2 linked regions of the Stegostoma tigrinum genome follow. The protein of the gene in region 1 purifies or fractionates together with the protein of each later gene. This does not show direct contact. Links are inferred from orthologs where the notes say so. Each region holds a gene or a part of one and is shown in the gene's direction. Other genes may lie near its edges. The genes, in order: larp1 and polyadenylate-binding protein 4-like.

The links.
Region 2: the proteins of larp1 (region 1) and polyadenylate-binding protein 4-like purify together in Homo sapiens (affinity purification with mass spectrometry; 3 studies listed by BioGRID and IntAct, with this or other methods). This does not show direct contact. The link is inferred for Stegostoma tigrinum from reciprocal best matches to the Homo sapiens genes LARP1 and PABPC4.

Annotation. Positions count from the first base shown.
Region 1 is NC_081366.1:13,968,656-13,976,534, reverse strand, and holds the start of larp1 (la-related protein 1), read left to right. Parts: upstream 1-4,200; 5' UTR 4,201-4,226; coding exon 4,227-4,686; intron 4,687-7,879. UniProt on the Homo sapiens protein: RNA-binding protein that regulates the translation of specific target mRNA species downstream of the mTORC1 complex, in function of growth signals and nutrient availability.
Region 2 is NC_081377.1:33,629,468-33,637,898, forward strand, and holds the start of polyadenylate-binding protein 4-like, read left to right. Parts: upstream 1-5,087; 5' UTR 5,088-5,646; coding exon 5,647-5,839; intron 5,840-6,147; exon of another isoform or gene 6,148-6,251; intron 6,252-7,954; exon of another isoform or gene 7,955-8,134; intron 8,135-8,431.

The DNA of each region.
Region 1 (7,879 bases):
TGTGGGGGTGGGGGGTGTATTTGGGATGTTGCTGGGTTCTGTGCAGGGGAGGTGATGTATTTGGGATGTTGCGGGGTTCTGTGTGGGGGAGGGGTGTGTATTTAGGATGTTGCGGGGTTCTGTGTGGGGGTGGGGGGTGGGTTTGGGATGTTGCGGGGTTCTGTGTAGGGGAGGGGGATGTGTTTGGGATGTTGCTGGGTTCTGTGTCGGGGAAGGGGGTGTATTTGGGATGTTGCTGGGTTCTGTGTCGGGGAGGGAGATGTGTTTGGGATGTTGCTGGGTTCTGTGTCGGGGAGGGGGGCGTATTTGGGATGTTGCTGGGTTCTGTGTTGGGGAGGGGGGTGTATTTGGGATGGTGTGGGGTTCTGCTTTGGGGAGGGGGATGCGCTTGGGATGTTGCTGGGTTCTGTGTGGGGGAGGGGGATGTGTTTGGGATGTTGCGGGGTTCTGTGTAAGGGAGGGGGATGTGTTTGGAATGTTGCGGGGTTCTGTGTGGGGAGGGGGATGTATTTGGGATGTTGCTGGGTTCTGTGTGGGGAGGGGGGTGTATTTGGGATGTTGCTGGGTTCTGTGTCGGGGAGGGGGGTGTATTTGGGATGTTGCAGGGTACTGCTTTGGGGAGGGGGGTGTGTTTGGGATGTTGCTGGGTTCTGTGTCGGGGAGGGGGGTGTATTTGGGATGTTGCTGGGTTCTGTGTGGGGAGGGGGGTGTATTTGGGACGTTGCTGGGTTCTGTGTCGTGGAGGTGGGTGTATTTGGGATGTTGCGGGGTTCTGTGTGGGGGAGGGGTGTGTGTTTAGGATGTTGCGGGGTTCTGTGTGGGGGTGGGGGGTGGGTTTGGGATGTTGCGGGGTTCTGTGTAGGGGAGGGGGATGTGTTTGGGATGTTGCGGTGTTCTGTGTCGGGGAAGGGGGTGTATTTGGGATGTTGCTGGGTTCTGTGTCGGGGAGGGCGGTGTATTTGGGATGTTGCTGAGTTCTGTGTTGGGGAGGGGGTTGTATTTGGGATGGTGCGGGGTTCTGCTTTGGAGAGGGGGATGTGCTTGGGATGTTGCTGGGTTCTGTGTGGGGGAGGGGGATGTGTTTGGGATGTTGCGGGGTTCTGTGTAAGGGAGGGGGATGTGTTTGGGATGTTGCGGGGTTCTGAATGGAGGAGGCGAATGTGTTTGGGATGATGCAGGGTTATGTGTGGGGAGGGGGGTGTATTTGGTATGTTGCTGGGTTCTGTGTGGGGAGAGGGGTGTATTTGGGATGTTGCGGGGTTCTGTGTTGGGGAGCGGGGTGTATTTGGGATGTTGCTAGGTTCTGTGTGGGGGAGGGGGATGTGTTTGGGATGTTGCGGGGTTCTGTGTAAGGGAGGGGGATGTGTTTGGAATGTTGCGGGGTTCTGTGTGGGGAGGGGGGTGTATTTGGGATGTTGCGGGGTTCTGTGTTGGGGAGCGGGGTGTATTTGGGATGTTGCGGGGTTCTGCTTTGGGGAGGGGGTGTGTTTGGGATGTTGCTAGGTTCTGTGTGGGGGAGGGGGATGTGTTTGGGATGTTGCGGGGTTCTCTGTAAGGGAGGGGGATGTGTTTGGGATGTTGCGGGGTTCTGTGTAGGGGAGGGGGATGTGTTTGGGATGTTGCTGGGTTCTGTGTAGGGGAGGGGGATGTGTTTGGGATGTTGCGAGGTTCTGAATGGAGGAGGCGAATGCGTTGGGGATGATGCAGGGTTATGTGTGGGGGAGGAGGGTGTATTTGGGATGTTGCTGGGTTCTGTGTGGGGGAGGGGGATGTATTTGGGATGTTGCTGGGTTCTGTGTCGGGGAGGGGGGTGTATTTGGGATGTTGCTGGGTTCTGTGTGGGGGAGGGGGTGTGTTTGGGATGTTGCTGGGTTCTGTGTGGGGGAGGGGGATGTGTTTGGGATGTTGCGGGGTTCTGTGTAAGGGAGGGGGATGTGTTTGGGATGTTGCGGTGTTCTGTGTAGGGGAGGGGGATGTGTTTGGGATGTTGCTGGGTTCTGTGTATGGGAGGGGGATGTGTTTGGGATGTTGCGGGGTTCTGAACGGAGGAGGCGAATGCATTGGGGATGATGCAGGGTTATGTGTGGGGCAGGAGGGTGTATTTGGGATGTTGCTGGGTTCTGTGTGGGGGAGGGGGATGTATTTGCGATGTTGCTGGGTTCTGTGTCGGGGAGGGGGGTGTATTTGGGATGTTGCTGGGTTCTGTGTGGGGGAGGGGGTGTGTTTGGGATGTTGCTGGGTTCTGTGTGGGGAGGGGGTTGTATTTGGGATGTTGCTGGGTTCTGTGTCGGGGAGGGTGATGTATTTGGGATGTTGCGGGGTTCTGCTTTGTGGAGGGGGGTGTATTTGGGATGTTGCTGGGTTCTGTGTGGGGGAGCGGGATGTATTTGCGATGTTGCTGGGTTCTGTGTCGGGGAGGGGGGTGTATTTGGGATGTTGCTGGGTTCTGTGTGGGGGAGGGGGTGTGTTTGGGATGTTGCTGGGTTCTGTGTGGGGAGGGCGTTGTATTTGGGATGTTGCTGGGTTCTGTGTCGGGGAGGGGGATGTATTTGGGATGTTGCGGGGTTCTGCTTCGGGGAGGGGGGTGTATTTGGGATGTTGCGGGGTTCTGTGTCGGGGAGGGGGATGTATTTGGGATGTTGCGGGGTTCTGTGTCGGGGAGGGGGATGTATTTGGGATGTTGCGGGGTTCTGTGTCGGGGAGGGGGATGTATTTGGGATGTTGCGGTGTTCTGTGTCGGGGAGGGGGATGTATTTGGGATGTTGCGGGGTTCTGTGTCGGGGAGGGGGGTGTATTTGGGATGTTGCGGTGTTCTGTGTGGGGGAGGGGGATGTATTTGGGATGTTGCTGGGTTCTGTGTCGGGGAGGGGGATGTATTTGGGATGTTGCGGTGTTCTGTGTCGGGGAGGGGGATGTATTTGGGATGTTGCGGGGTTCTGTGTCGGGGAGGGGGGTGTATTTGGGATGTTGCGGTGTTCTGTGTGGGGGAGGGGGATGTATTTGGGATGTTGCGGTGTTCTGTGTCAGGGAGGGGGATGTATTTGGGATGTTGCGGGGTTCTGTGTCGGGGAGGGGTGTGTATTTGGGATGTTGCGGTGTTCTGTGTGGGGGAGGGGGATGTATTTGGGATGTTGCGGGGTTCTGTGTCGGGGAGGGGGATGTATTTGGGATGTTGCGGGGTTCTGTGTCGGGGAGGGGGGTGTATTTGGGATGTTGCGGGGTTCTGTGTCGGGGAGGGGGGTGTATTTGGGATGTTGCTGGGTTCTGTGTCGGGGAGGGGGGTGTATTTGGGATGTTGCGGGGTTCTGTGTCGGGGAGGGGGGTGTATTTGGGATGTTGCGGGGTTCTGTGTCGGGGAAAGGGGTGTGTTTGGGATGTTGCGGGGTTCTGTGTCGGGGAGGGGGATGTATTTGGGATGTTGCGGGGTTCTGTTTGGGGGAAAGGGGTGTGTTTGGGATGTTGCGGGGTTCTGTGTCGGGGAGGGGGGTGTATTTGGGATGTTGCGGGGTTCTGTGTCGGGGAGGGGGGTGTATTTGGGATGTTGCTGGGTTCTGTGTCGGGGAGGGGGGTGTATTTGGGATGTTGCTGGGTTTTGTGTGGGGGAAAGGGGTGTGTTTGGGATGTTGCGGTGTTCTGTGTCGGGGAGGGGGGTGTATTTGGGATGTTGCGGGGTTCTGTGTGGGGGAGGGGGGTGTATTTGGGATGTTGCTGGGTTCTGTGTCGGGGAGGGGGGTGTATTTGGGATGTTGCTGGGTTCTGTGTGGGGGAAAGGGGTGTGTTTGGGATGTTGCTGGGTTCTGTGTGGGGGAAAGGGGTGTGTTTGGGATGTTGCGGTGTTCTGTGTCGGGGAGGGGGGTGTGTTTGGGATGTTGCGGTGTTCTGTGTCGGGGAGAGGGGTGTGTTTGGGATGTTGCGGTGTTCTGTGTCGGGGAGGGGGATGTATTTGGGATGTTGCTGGGTTCTGTGTCGGGGAGAGGGGTGTGTTTGGGATGTTGCGGTGTTCTGTGTCGGGGAGGGGGGTGTGTTTGGGATGTTGCTGCGTTGGTAACGGGGCGTGGGTGTGGGCGGGCTCTGTTTTTCAAGTCCCACCCACCGTTGCTCGCTCCCTCGGGTCAGCTGGGGAACGGCGGAGTACGTGCGCGCCCCGCGTCAGCGTGGGTTCGGCGCGGTGCGTGCGCGCGTACGCTGCTGCCACACGGAGTCCGAGTGCGAGCCCAGCCGCCGCCATGGCCACGCAGGTGCAGAGTCTGCCGTCGCCTCACGGAGCCCAGGCCCCGGAGCAACCGCGTTCGGAGCCGGCCCAGAACTCGGTACACGCCCAGGCCCCGGCATTGCGCCAGGCCGCCGGGCCCGAGCAGGCGTCCTCCCAGACCGGGGCTGGCACCGGCACCAGGCCTGAGGCCAAGCGCCTCATGGCAGCCCCGCCGCCCAAGGTGAACCCGTGGAGTAAAACGGCCTGTGCCGGCGAGTCCGGCGCTCCCAGCCCGGCTCCGCCTGCAGAGCCCGGAGTGGCCTCCGGACCTGGACCAGGGCCCGGCTCCGAGCCCCCGGGACAGGCTGGAGACAGCGCTGAGGAGCAGAGGGCCGGTGGCTGCGGCCGCAGGAAGGAGTTCATCGAGGCGCCCCCGCCCAGAGTCAATCCCTGGACCAGGAGAGTGAGCGGGAGCGGCGTGGAGACCGAGCCAGGTTAGTGCAGGCCCATGAAGGAGAAAGAGGGTGAGGAATCTGTGGCCGGGCCCAAGACTGGGACAGGTGTTGGGGTGGGGTGGGGTTTGATCGATAAGTAAGGGGGTTGCTCAGTCCCCTGCCACCCCCATCTTTAAAACTCCCAGATCCCAAATTTCTTTTCGCCATCCCCAGTCCAAGGATCTGTGGTAGGGGAGTACCCAGTGTCAGATTCAGCTTCCCAGGTCCTATGTTGTGGGTATACTAACCTTCCCTGATTTTAGATCCCGAATCCTTTGCTTCACATCCCTCCCCTGCCCCCGAAGCTCCCAACCAGTGCTCCCAGACATTACTTACTTGTTAGATCTCACCACCGTACCACACCTGAGATTTGGGAGTCCCTGTCTGCAGATCACTCATCTGACTGCACTCACACATCAATTCTTATTCGTCTCTACCTCACTGCTTGATCTGCCAGTTCAGGATTCTTGCTCCAAACCTGTGGACCAGGCATCCCTGTCCACCCGAGCTGAAACTCCTGTTACAAACAATGTTTATGCCCAGGATTTTGTCTTTTTTTCCTGTTGCGTTCTGAGATGCTGTAACGGTGTGATTCATGCTCAACTTTGATCCTTTTGTCATTAGAACAGGATATTATGGGGTAGCTTGACATGTTAAAAGTTACGAAGGGATGGAACAGAGTTTTATGTGACCAGAGGCCATTTAAGAATTGGTTGGTGGTTGATGGAGTGAAGGGTGCTGGGAAATGGTGAGGAGATAGGATCGTGACTGTTGGTGTGGAGAGCATGTGATGCTTTCTTTTCATACCTGTATTCTGTTTCTGCATGCATTTTTACTGTTAGCAACATGTGCACGATTGAGCAAATAGTCTTTTTCTTTGCCAATTAATTGGATGATAAATCTACAAAAAAGTGGAGAAGCTGTTACTCGGGAATGGCTCACATGACCTGTGTGGATTATATGCGACATGGTTTTTTTCTTAACCTAGTTGTGGTATTGTACTTCTCCTTTATTGAGCAATGAAATCATCGAAGCATATTCCTAATACTTAAGGACTGAAATGTAAACTGATACTGGCTTCTGGGCATGGATGATCCTTCCCCAAGACTTGGATCGGTTCTGCATGCAGCAGTGCAGTGAGGAGAAGAGTTAAATGGATACTGGGATACGTTCATCAAGCAATGCACCATTTTTGTTCAAAAAGATTTTTCAGGGTTTTGCCAAAATTCTGAAATGGGTGTCATCTTGAGTGTTTATTGCAGATAAAGTTGAAGTTGAATGTCGGCGTACTGAAAAACTAACGCAAAATTCTGGAATACACACCAATTTAGTTGGAATCTGAAAGACAGCGGTCATGGTTTAGGGTGGAGACATTGTCACAAATGAATGTATGTCTGAAGCTCTGTTTTCATCCGGACATTAGCCTGTTCTTTCTGATTAATGTCGGTGATTCTGAAGCACTTTTTAAATCAGTCCCTGATCTTAAAACCTGTTCACATGAAGCATGTTGCTCTGCTTCTAGTTACCAATCTTCTGTGAATGATAACACTGCACGTTGGAACAGAACCATGTCCTGCATAAACTACTCATCTGGGACCCTAGCACTGTGACACAGGTTCATGTTTACAATGGAGAAATAATAGAACATAGAACGTTACAGCACAGTACAGGCCCTTCGGCCCTTGATGTTGTGCTGACCTGTCATACCGATCTCAAGCCCATCTAACCTACACTATTCCGTGTATGTCCATATGCTTATCCAATGAGGACTTAAATGTACCTAAATCTTCTTTTATTTACATAGTGCCTGACCATGATTCCAGGTTGCCCAAAGCGCACTTGCAGCAAAAATTACTTCGGAAGTACGACTCCAGTCATATTGGCAAATATGGCAGCCAGGTTATGTGATCAAAAACAGTACTTTTGAGTTCTTCTACATGGTGAAACATTCCAAGGCACTTCACGAGAGCAAGAAAGTTTTGGATGCCCAGCCACTAGACATATTAGACCAGAAGAGAGATGTTTTACACACTGTCTTGAAGCAAGAGAGGGATGGAGAGGTTTAAGGAGGGAATTCCAGAAAATATAGTTTCTGCAGCTGAATGCACAGTTGCCAGTAGTTCATTGTAAAACCTGGAGATACTCTAGACCAGAATTGGAGGAGTGCACGTAAATGGGTTACAGAAACACGTTTGCATTTATATAGCATCTTACATCACCATAGGATGCTCCAAAGAATTTACAATTTACAAAGCACTTTTTGAAGTATAATTATTGTAAAACTGTGCAGCAAAATTGTGCGCAGCAAGATCCCTCAAGTAACTACTTTTCATTTGATTGGAGGGTAAATATTGTCCATGCACTGGGGTAACTCCCATGCTCTTCAATATGATGCAATAGGAACATTTACATCTACATGGGAGGATAGGAGGGGCCCCAGATATAATGCTTCATCCAAAAGACATTAACTCTGACATTGCAACATTTCTTCGTATTGCATTAGGTTACCAACCGAGATGTTTATGCTTGAGTCCTGGATAAAGATGATGGAATTGAAAATAAGGGAGGGAAGGTTCCTGATGTTTCTGACCAGGAACGAGTATAAGCCATTGAACACAGGACTGAAAGGTGAACTGAGTTTAGTATCACTAACGATACAGTTTTGAATGGTTCCAAGTTTATGGAGAGCTAAATGTTGAGGATTGACTATATGTTGGAATAATCAAATGCACAGGTAACAAAGGCAAAGGAAATAAGACAACTAATTTGTTGCTATTGCTGGTCTTGACTGTTAAATTGAATATTGCCTGGGGTGGAGTGCTTTCTATTCTATTCACAAACCTTTGAGTCAAGCAGGTGGAACTCTGGTTTCACATCCCATTCAAAAGGCAGTGCTGCAACGATTCTGAACTTTGCACACAAAATTGAGAGATCAAGTCCTATAGTGGCAAATGAGCCCACAACCTCGAGACTGAGGCAAGAGTGTGACCTGCTGCTGCCATTAGTTCGGTTCATAGCCTAAAATGCAAATTAGTAACCTTGATATCTTCAAACAGTACTAGTGTTCCTATAATGAACATGGACAATATGTTACAGGTACAACCAAGCTTAATGGGAATAGGCAGCTGCTCAAGCAACAACAACTTGAATTTGTATAGAACCTTTAACACAGAAATCATCGCAGTGTATCTGC
Region 2 (8,431 bases), on another chromosome or scaffold:
AAGGGAGATGAAAGGAGTCATTTGTAGACAAGTGACAAAACATACGTTATCATCTGTTTTGCTTTTAAAGGAAAAGCAATGCTGTTCTATTGCAAAATGACTCTCTGTGTTTTCAACACTACAATTTCAAAGATCAGCAACTAGGTTCAGCCAAGTTTCAGGCCATAGCCAATGATTAAAGTATCTGCCCACATGCCAGGTCACAAGTATGTTTGAAGCAGTTGCCACAGTTTTGTGTCAGTTGCTCTGCTGACCCAGAACTTGATATGATGGATAGATTATGTTTGGCAAGAACTCAAGAGTAAACAGGCACAACAGAAATGGCTGGTGGCGTTTTGGGAGGTGTTGTCAATCACTCTTGATCACACCATCAAGCCATTTTCATACAGTACCACATAAAACTTGGCAAATTCTAATTGGGTGCTTTTGAAGAATCATTCATCTAGCGGTTAGTCAGACAATAACAAACGGAAATGATGCCATGAGGAATTGGTTAGCACAGGTTCCTTTGGGTACAGGAACAATTATGAACATGGCTAAGTGATATCTCATTTCTCTTTGATTGTGTGGATACTGACATGAAGGTACAGATATTGTGCCTGACCTGCATTGCATTGCTTCATAGGACTTCTTTTGAATATCAGCTTGAAATATTCCCAATGAGTGTAGGCTTTACCATTATGAAAGAAGCTTGTGCTAAAACTTAAGCATGACCGGTTCCTGAAAGAGAATGTGTCAGCAGAAACACTATGGAAGGCAGAAAAAGCTCAGGATTAAAAACTCTAAAATACTGTAAAATTCAGTATTCCTAAATGACTTGCAGACTATACACTTCTAAGTAAATGTGGACACCAGTCTTCTTGAGTGCATTTTGGACTTGACTGAGAACTTGCTGTGCACAAACATCACCAGTCACACCTCAAAAGTACTTTATTGAAAGTAAAGCACTTTGGACTGCGAAATCACTGAAGAAACACAAGATTTTCATTTGTATCAGCGATAATAGGAACTGCAGATGCTGGAGAATCCAAGATAACAAGGTGTAGAGCTGGATGAACACAGCAAGCCAAGCAGCATCTTAGGAACAAAGATGCTGCTCAGCCTGTTGTGTTCATCCAGCTCTACACCTTATCTCTTTTTCTTTTGTATTCTAGGTTTGAATCCCTTCAATCAATTTCTACCTGACACAGTACCAAACAGTTCTTATCAAAATCACAAATTACAGCCTATGTGACCGTGACCATAGTAAACTTTCTCTTTACATTTTTCTTAATCCATCTGCAGAGTTTGACATGGTTGACCATAGCAATAACCTCTTACACCTTTCAAACTGTCATTCAGATAGATGTAACTGCTGTCACCTGTTTCTACTCTTGTTTATTCTATTGTAGCCAGAGAATCACTGTCATGGTTCCTTTTCCTGTTATTGTGTTGATGTCTCTGGTGTCAAAGATATATCCTTGGTTCCTTCCTATTTCCCATCTACATGCTACCAAACGAGAACTCCATCCAAAAGCACAGCATTAGTTTTCACACGTACACTATAACAACACACAAATCTACCTTCACCAGCTTGACTTCTTCACTGCTGATAAATGAGCAGACTGCTTATCCGATATCCGGTACTGGTTGAGTAGAAATTTCCTCCAATTAAATATTGTGAAGTCTGAAGTCATTGCCTTTAACCCAAATCCATACCCTATTCCCTAGTTACAAACTCTATTCCTTTCGCTGATAACAGTCTAATATTAAGTCAGACTGGCATTGATCCTGAACTGAACCTCTGATTTCCCATTCATGCTATCGCTAAGAATGTCTACTTCCACATTGTAACATCATCTGAAGTCAGTTCTGTCTCAGCTCAGAGATAATAGGAACTGCAGATGCTGGAGAATCCGAGATAACAAAGTGTAGAGTTGGATAAACGCAGCAGGCCAAGCAGCATCTTAGGAGCAGAAAAGCTGACATTCTGGGCCTAGATCAGCTCTACACTTTGTTATCTCTGCCTCAGCTCGTCTATCTTCTCTGTCTCTAGATTTGACCATTCCAATGCACCTTTGGCTGGTCTCCCATAACCTATACTCTATTTAGATCATTCAAAATATTGTTGCCTGCATGTTAACACACAAGTACCATTGCCCTATCATCCTTGTGCTCACTGACCTCCAAACAAGCAATGTTATCCTTTTGAAATTCTCATTTTTCAAATCCCTCTATTGTCTGAACTTCTCCCCCATCCCAAGCCCCACAATCCCCTGGGATATCTGCAATCCACTAACTCTTGCCTCTTGTGCATTACCCTAAATTTTAATTACTACACCAGTGGTCGCTGTATCTGGGGCGCAAACTTTGGAAATCCCTCCTGACACCTCTCCCCACTTTCCATTTTTACAACACTCCTTAATGGGTTTGTTGTCACACAATTGTTTTATAATGTTCCTCTGCCTAGTAAGGTTTTGCAAGATTCCATAAAAAATATTGCTGTGCCTGACAGCTGTGAAACAGAGCAATGAAATATCATAACCCCTCCCCAACTTACAACCAAAATGAAGATTTCCCCCAAGACAGTAGGAACTGCAGATGCTGGAGAATCGGAGATAACAAGGTGTAGAGCTGGATGAGCACAGCAGGCCAAGCAGCATCAGAGGGGTCTAGGCCGGATATGTCAGCCTTCCTGCTCGGCCTGCTGTGTTCATCCAGCTCTACACCTTGTTATCTATTGAAGATTTCCCCAGTTGCTTTGACCATGCAGGAGCTTCTGCCTCTTGACCCAGACATAATCACAGCTTCGGAGGGGGCCAGGGCACGACGGAGGTGGGACCCAATCTTGTAGTCCGTGAATACCCTTGTGGGCCAGACTCTTCAGAGAGTAACCTGAAGGGATAGACTATGGCAATAAAATGTGAGGCTGGATGAACACAGCAGGCCAAGCAGCATCTCAGGAGCACAAAAGCTGACGTTTCGGGCCTAGGCCCTTCATCAGAGAGGGGGATGGGATGAGGGTTCTGGAATAAATAGGGAGAGAGGGGGAGGCGGACCGAAGATGGAGAGAAAAGAAGATAGGTGGAGAGGAGAGTATAGGTGCAGAGGTGGGGAGGGGATAGGTCAGTCCAGGGAAGACAGACAGGTCAAGGAGGTGGGATGAGGTTAGTAGGTAGATGGGGGTGCGGCTTGGGGTGGGAGGAAGGGATGGGTGAGAGGAAGAACAGGTTAGGGAGGCAGAGACAGGTTGGACTGGTTTTGGGATGCAGTGGGTGGAGGGGAAGAGCTGGGCTGGTTGTGTGGCGCAGTGGGGGGAGGGGACGAACTGGGCTGGTTTAGGGATGCGGTGAGGGAAGGGGAGATTTTGAAACTGGTGAAGTCCCACTTCCTACAGACTAAGCGGGTGGCCATGGGCACCCGCATGGGCCCCAGCTATGCCTGCCTCTTTGTAGGTTACGTGGAACAGTCCCTCTTCCGCACCTACACAGGCCCCAAACCCCACCTCTTCCTCCGGTACATTGATGACTGTATCGGCGCCACCTCTTGCTCCCCAGAGAAGCTCGAACAGTTCATCCACTTCACCAACACCTTCCACCCCAACCTTCAGTTCACCTGGGCCATCTCCAGCACATCCCTCACCTTCCTGGACCTCTCAGTCTCCATCTCAGGCAACCAGCTTGTAACTGATGTCCATTTCAAGCCCACCGACTTCCACAGCTACCTAGAATACACCTCCTCCCACCCACCCTCCTGCAAAAATTCCATCCCCTATTCCCAATTCTTCCGCCTCCGCCGCATCTGCTCCCACGATAAGACATTCCACTCCAGCACATCCCAGATGTCCAAGTTCTTCAAGGACCGCAACTTTCCCCCCACAGTGATCGAGAATGCCCTTGACCGCGTCTCCCGCATTTCCCGCAACACATCCCTCACACCCTGCCCCCGCCACAACTGCCCAAAGAGGATCCCCCTCGTTCTCACACACCACCCCACCAACCTCTGGATACAACGCATCATCCTCCGACACTTCCGCCATCTACAATCCGACCCCACCACCCAAGACATTTTTCCATCCCCACCCCTGTCTGCTTTCCGGAGAGACCACTCTCTCTGTGACTCCCTTGTTCGCTCCACACTGCCCTCCAACCCCACCACATCCGGCACCTTCCCCTGCAACCGCAGAAAATGCTACACAATGATGCCACCCGAAGGTTGTAGGAACAGCAACTCATATTGCGCCTGGGAACCCTGCAGCCTAATGGTATCAACGTTGACTTCACCAGCTTCAAAATCTCCGCAGTGCCACAATGATGCCACCCGAAGGTTGTAGGAACAGCAACTCATATTGCGCCTGGGAACCCTGCAGCCTAATGGTATCAACGTTGACTTCACCAGCTTCAAAATCTCCCCTTCCCCCACCGCATCCCAAAACCAGCCCAGTTCGTCCCCTCTCCCCACTGCACCACACAACCAGCCCAGCTCTTCCCCTCCACCCACTGCATCCCAAAACCAGTCCAGCCTGTCTCTGCCTCCCTAACCTGTTCTTCCTCTCACCCATCCCTTCCTCCCAGCCCAAGCCGCACCCCCATCTACCTCATCCCACCTCCTTGACCTGTCCGTCTTCCCTGGGCTGACCTATCCCCTCCCCACCTACCCACCTATACTCTCTCCACCTATCTTCTTTTCTCTCCATCTTCGGTCCGCCTCCCCCTCTCTCCCTATTTATTCCAGAACCCTCACCCCATCCCCCTCTCTGATGAAGGGTCTAGGCCCGAAACGTCAGCTTTTGTGCTCCTGAGATGCTGCTTGGCCTGCTGTGTTCATCCAGCTTCACACTTTATTATCTAGGATTCTTCAGCATCTGCAGTTCCCATTATCTCGGATAGACTATGGCACATGCTTTGCGTTGGAAGTCTTTTGCAAACCTGCTGAACTTGAAGGGACAGAAACTCTGAGCTGTTGAGCCTGCAGAGGGCAGCGGCTGTAGCTGACTAAGCTGAGTTGTTGGGTTTTTTTCTTTCCTCCTCTCTTGTTCATTTTGCCTTTCATTCTGATGGCGCAGGAAATGACGGGACCGTTTGCTGGTTGATATAAAAAGCCTCCTCCTCCATTACTCTCTCTCCGTCTCCTAGCCACATGTGTGAGTGTGGAAAAGCTCCTGAGGTAGCGCACACTCATACGTGAAAAAAAATCTTTAAAAAAATCAAAAAAATCTTATAAACAGAAAAAAACAAAAATAAAAATCGGTGGAACTAAGTTGTGAAGAGGGCGAAAATCCAGTTACTTTTAATAATTTTAAAAAAAAGGAAAAATAAAGCCAACCAGGTCTCAGCCACGCTCTGGGATTTATCGCCTGGAATCGGGTGCGGACAAACCTTCCGAAGTTTCTGGAAGCTGAAGTATCTGAAGCGGTTTTTAAAAACAAAACAAAAGAAAAGAATTATAAGAGCCGGGGATCTGTTAACTCAATAGGCCACAGGCTTCAGGAGATAAGGAAGAGAATCAGATTTAACCGGTTCGAGCATTTCTGGAAAGTTCTTTGCCCGACGGTTCCTCGCCCACTCCCCTTTTTCTTTCAATTCCTCGCGCTCGCTGTCTCCCGTTTCGTTAGGGGGGGGGGGGGGGGGAAAGTTGATCGTTTAATTTGTGTCGGACTGTCTGAGGATGAATCAGACCGGTGCCAGTTACCCGATGGCCTCGCTTTATGTCGGCGACCTGCACCCAGATGTGACCGAGGCGATGCTGTATGAGAAATTTAGTCCGGCCGGGCCTGTGCTCTCCATCAGGGTTTGTAGAGACATGATCACCAGGAGGTCGCTCGGATACGCCTATGTCAACTTCCAGCAGCCCGCAGACGGTGAGCCAGACGCTTTATTTTTGTTTTTTTTAAAAAAAATCTTCGACCGAACCACATCCGCCCTTCTCCCCAGGCTTCTCCATCCAGCCCCTCGTCACTGGGGGCTGTGTGGCTGCTGGAGGCCAACGTCCAAACTCATCACTGCCCAGAGATATAAATACCACTGGCTGCTGGCAAGCGAAAGGAAATGTTTCTCGTCTGTCCGATGGTTTGAATAGCGCCAAACTTTTCTCATCTGGGAGATCTCCCTGCCCCGATCTTTAAAATACACCGCCAGTTAGTTTAAAACCTCGTCGATTTCATTGCAGGTAGCTGAAATGATGGGCTAGTAAAATTAAAAAAGGTTACGAATTCTGAAGGGATTGAAATCTCATGACCTTGGGGATCTCCGTTTGTAAACACAATGTCACAGGTATGAAAATCGATAATGACTTGTAACATTTGTCAATGTCACGGTTGGCAATGAATTGGCAGCTGGCACAGTTCTTTTTAAGATGTTCTAAAGAAATTACAGGCAGGGCCATGACAAGGTAAATATCCAGGAGGTGAAAAGCATTTCAGGCACAAAAAACAGTTATGGGCCTGATGTCCTTGAGGAAGAAAAGTTGTAGAGCACCTATCATGGCTCAATGAGCTGATGAAGGACTTGATTTATTACTAGGCCAAACAACCTACAAAAACTGTTCATTAGCTATTTTTAGCAGAGATTTTGGAAAATGCACCTATAATTAGCTTCAGTGTTTCTGGGTTGAGGGGAAATAAAAAGCAATTAGTGTCCAATACCAGATTTCTTCAGATGAACCCCTTGTGGAGAGTTCATGGCTGTGACTCAGAGTTAGCGAGCAAATGCAGTCTAAACTTTGCATTTATATAATGTCCTTTTGGTTAAGACCTCTGAAGGAACCATTATATTGTACAGGATGGAAGGAGGACCTAGCAGTTTTCTACTGTCATTGGTATAGTACTCTAAAATTGGATTAGAGTTTTGTACATATTAAAATTCAAGATTGAAGTGAAAGGCACCCATATTCCCAGAGGACTATGGGTCGCTTTCTTCTTAGAATACAAAAATAACTGCTGGTGAGTTTAATCTGAGGGCCACCATGTGTTGGGTGAGGGGCAGGATTGAGAACGCAGTTCCTTCATGGTAACCTCAGTCGATACAGGAATTGAACCCATGCTTTTGGTGTCACTGGATGTTGCAAAGTAGCAGTTCAGCCAAGGGACTTAACGGGTAGTCACTTTGAAGGATGCCTTCAATATTAAAATGTCGTTGAAGTATAGTGAAGATGTGTCTGAAGTGCTAATATGCAGCAATATGATCCTTGTCAGTGACTGAATGCTTTGCATTGTTGCTGAGCAGTTCTCCTTTATCTTCAAGCATAATGAGCTGAAGTAGATTGTGACTTGGGTTTGAGATCAGAAAACTTAGCAAATTACAGCCTTTGAACCCTGGATTTTCTCGAATGTCTGGTTCACCACTATATCAGGTTATCCATTTATCCACTAAGTGATGAGAGAGTGTCTGATTGTATGTACTTTAATTGTAATAAGATAGTTTTCTAGCCTTTTACTCACTTTTGTACTTAAAATTGTTTTTTGTCTGCTATGTTGGACTAGTTCATTCAATCTCATCTGGCATTACATAGTTTCTGCACAGAGAACATCTACCCTTTCCCTTCCTCTGATTGTTGGGTCAAGTTTTGTGTATTTGCAACAATGCTGGGGATTATCAGCAGATGGTATTCATCTTGGCTTTAGAAAGTGCAGTGTTAGCCATTTCGTATGTTACTTTGTCCCTGCTGTGATTGAATTTTGGAAAAAATTGGCATCTATCACCTTGGAAATTTTACGATGAGGAAAAGCTATTTGGTGTCTTCTAGTAACTTAAATTCATTTTACAATAGGATAGTAGCAGACATTGTCTAATTTCTTGTTCAGCCGAATAAGTTTCAGCACACAAGTAATATATCTTAGCACAAGTTATAGTGCTTAAAACAATAACTAGTGTGCTGAAATATGGATAATTATACCTTTTGATTTAATTGTTGCACTTAGATTATTAGTTTCACTTTGTTTTAATGTCTGTTAAAATTTTTAAAAAATCTTTTTCAGTTGTTGTTCTGTGATCCTCCTGACATCACAGCACCAGCTCTAACACAAAACAATGAAAGGTTCTGATGCTGAGCGAAACTGTGCAACTATCGTGGGCATAACCACAGTTCTCAGCCAATCGGAATCCTCCTTAATCTAAATCAGAAATAAATGTTCAACTATCAGCAACCTACACATATGGTAAGGAGCAACTTGAGCATTTACACGTTATCCATAATGAAATATGAAGCAGTATTCTAATGTGCTCAGAATACAACTTTCTAGTGTCACTATTTCTTTTCTGCCCTATGCTAGTGACTTTTCTTGTCACTTGACTTCGGAAAAGTTTTCCATTATGAAGTCTGTTTTCATCCCCTTTCTTTCAAATAATGTTAAGCAATGTTTTGAAAATGCTGCTTCCTTCATAAGATAATTGTAGCAGAGTTGAGTACATCCTGGAAGCCACTTATTAGAAATTAATTGTCACAAGGCTTGTTA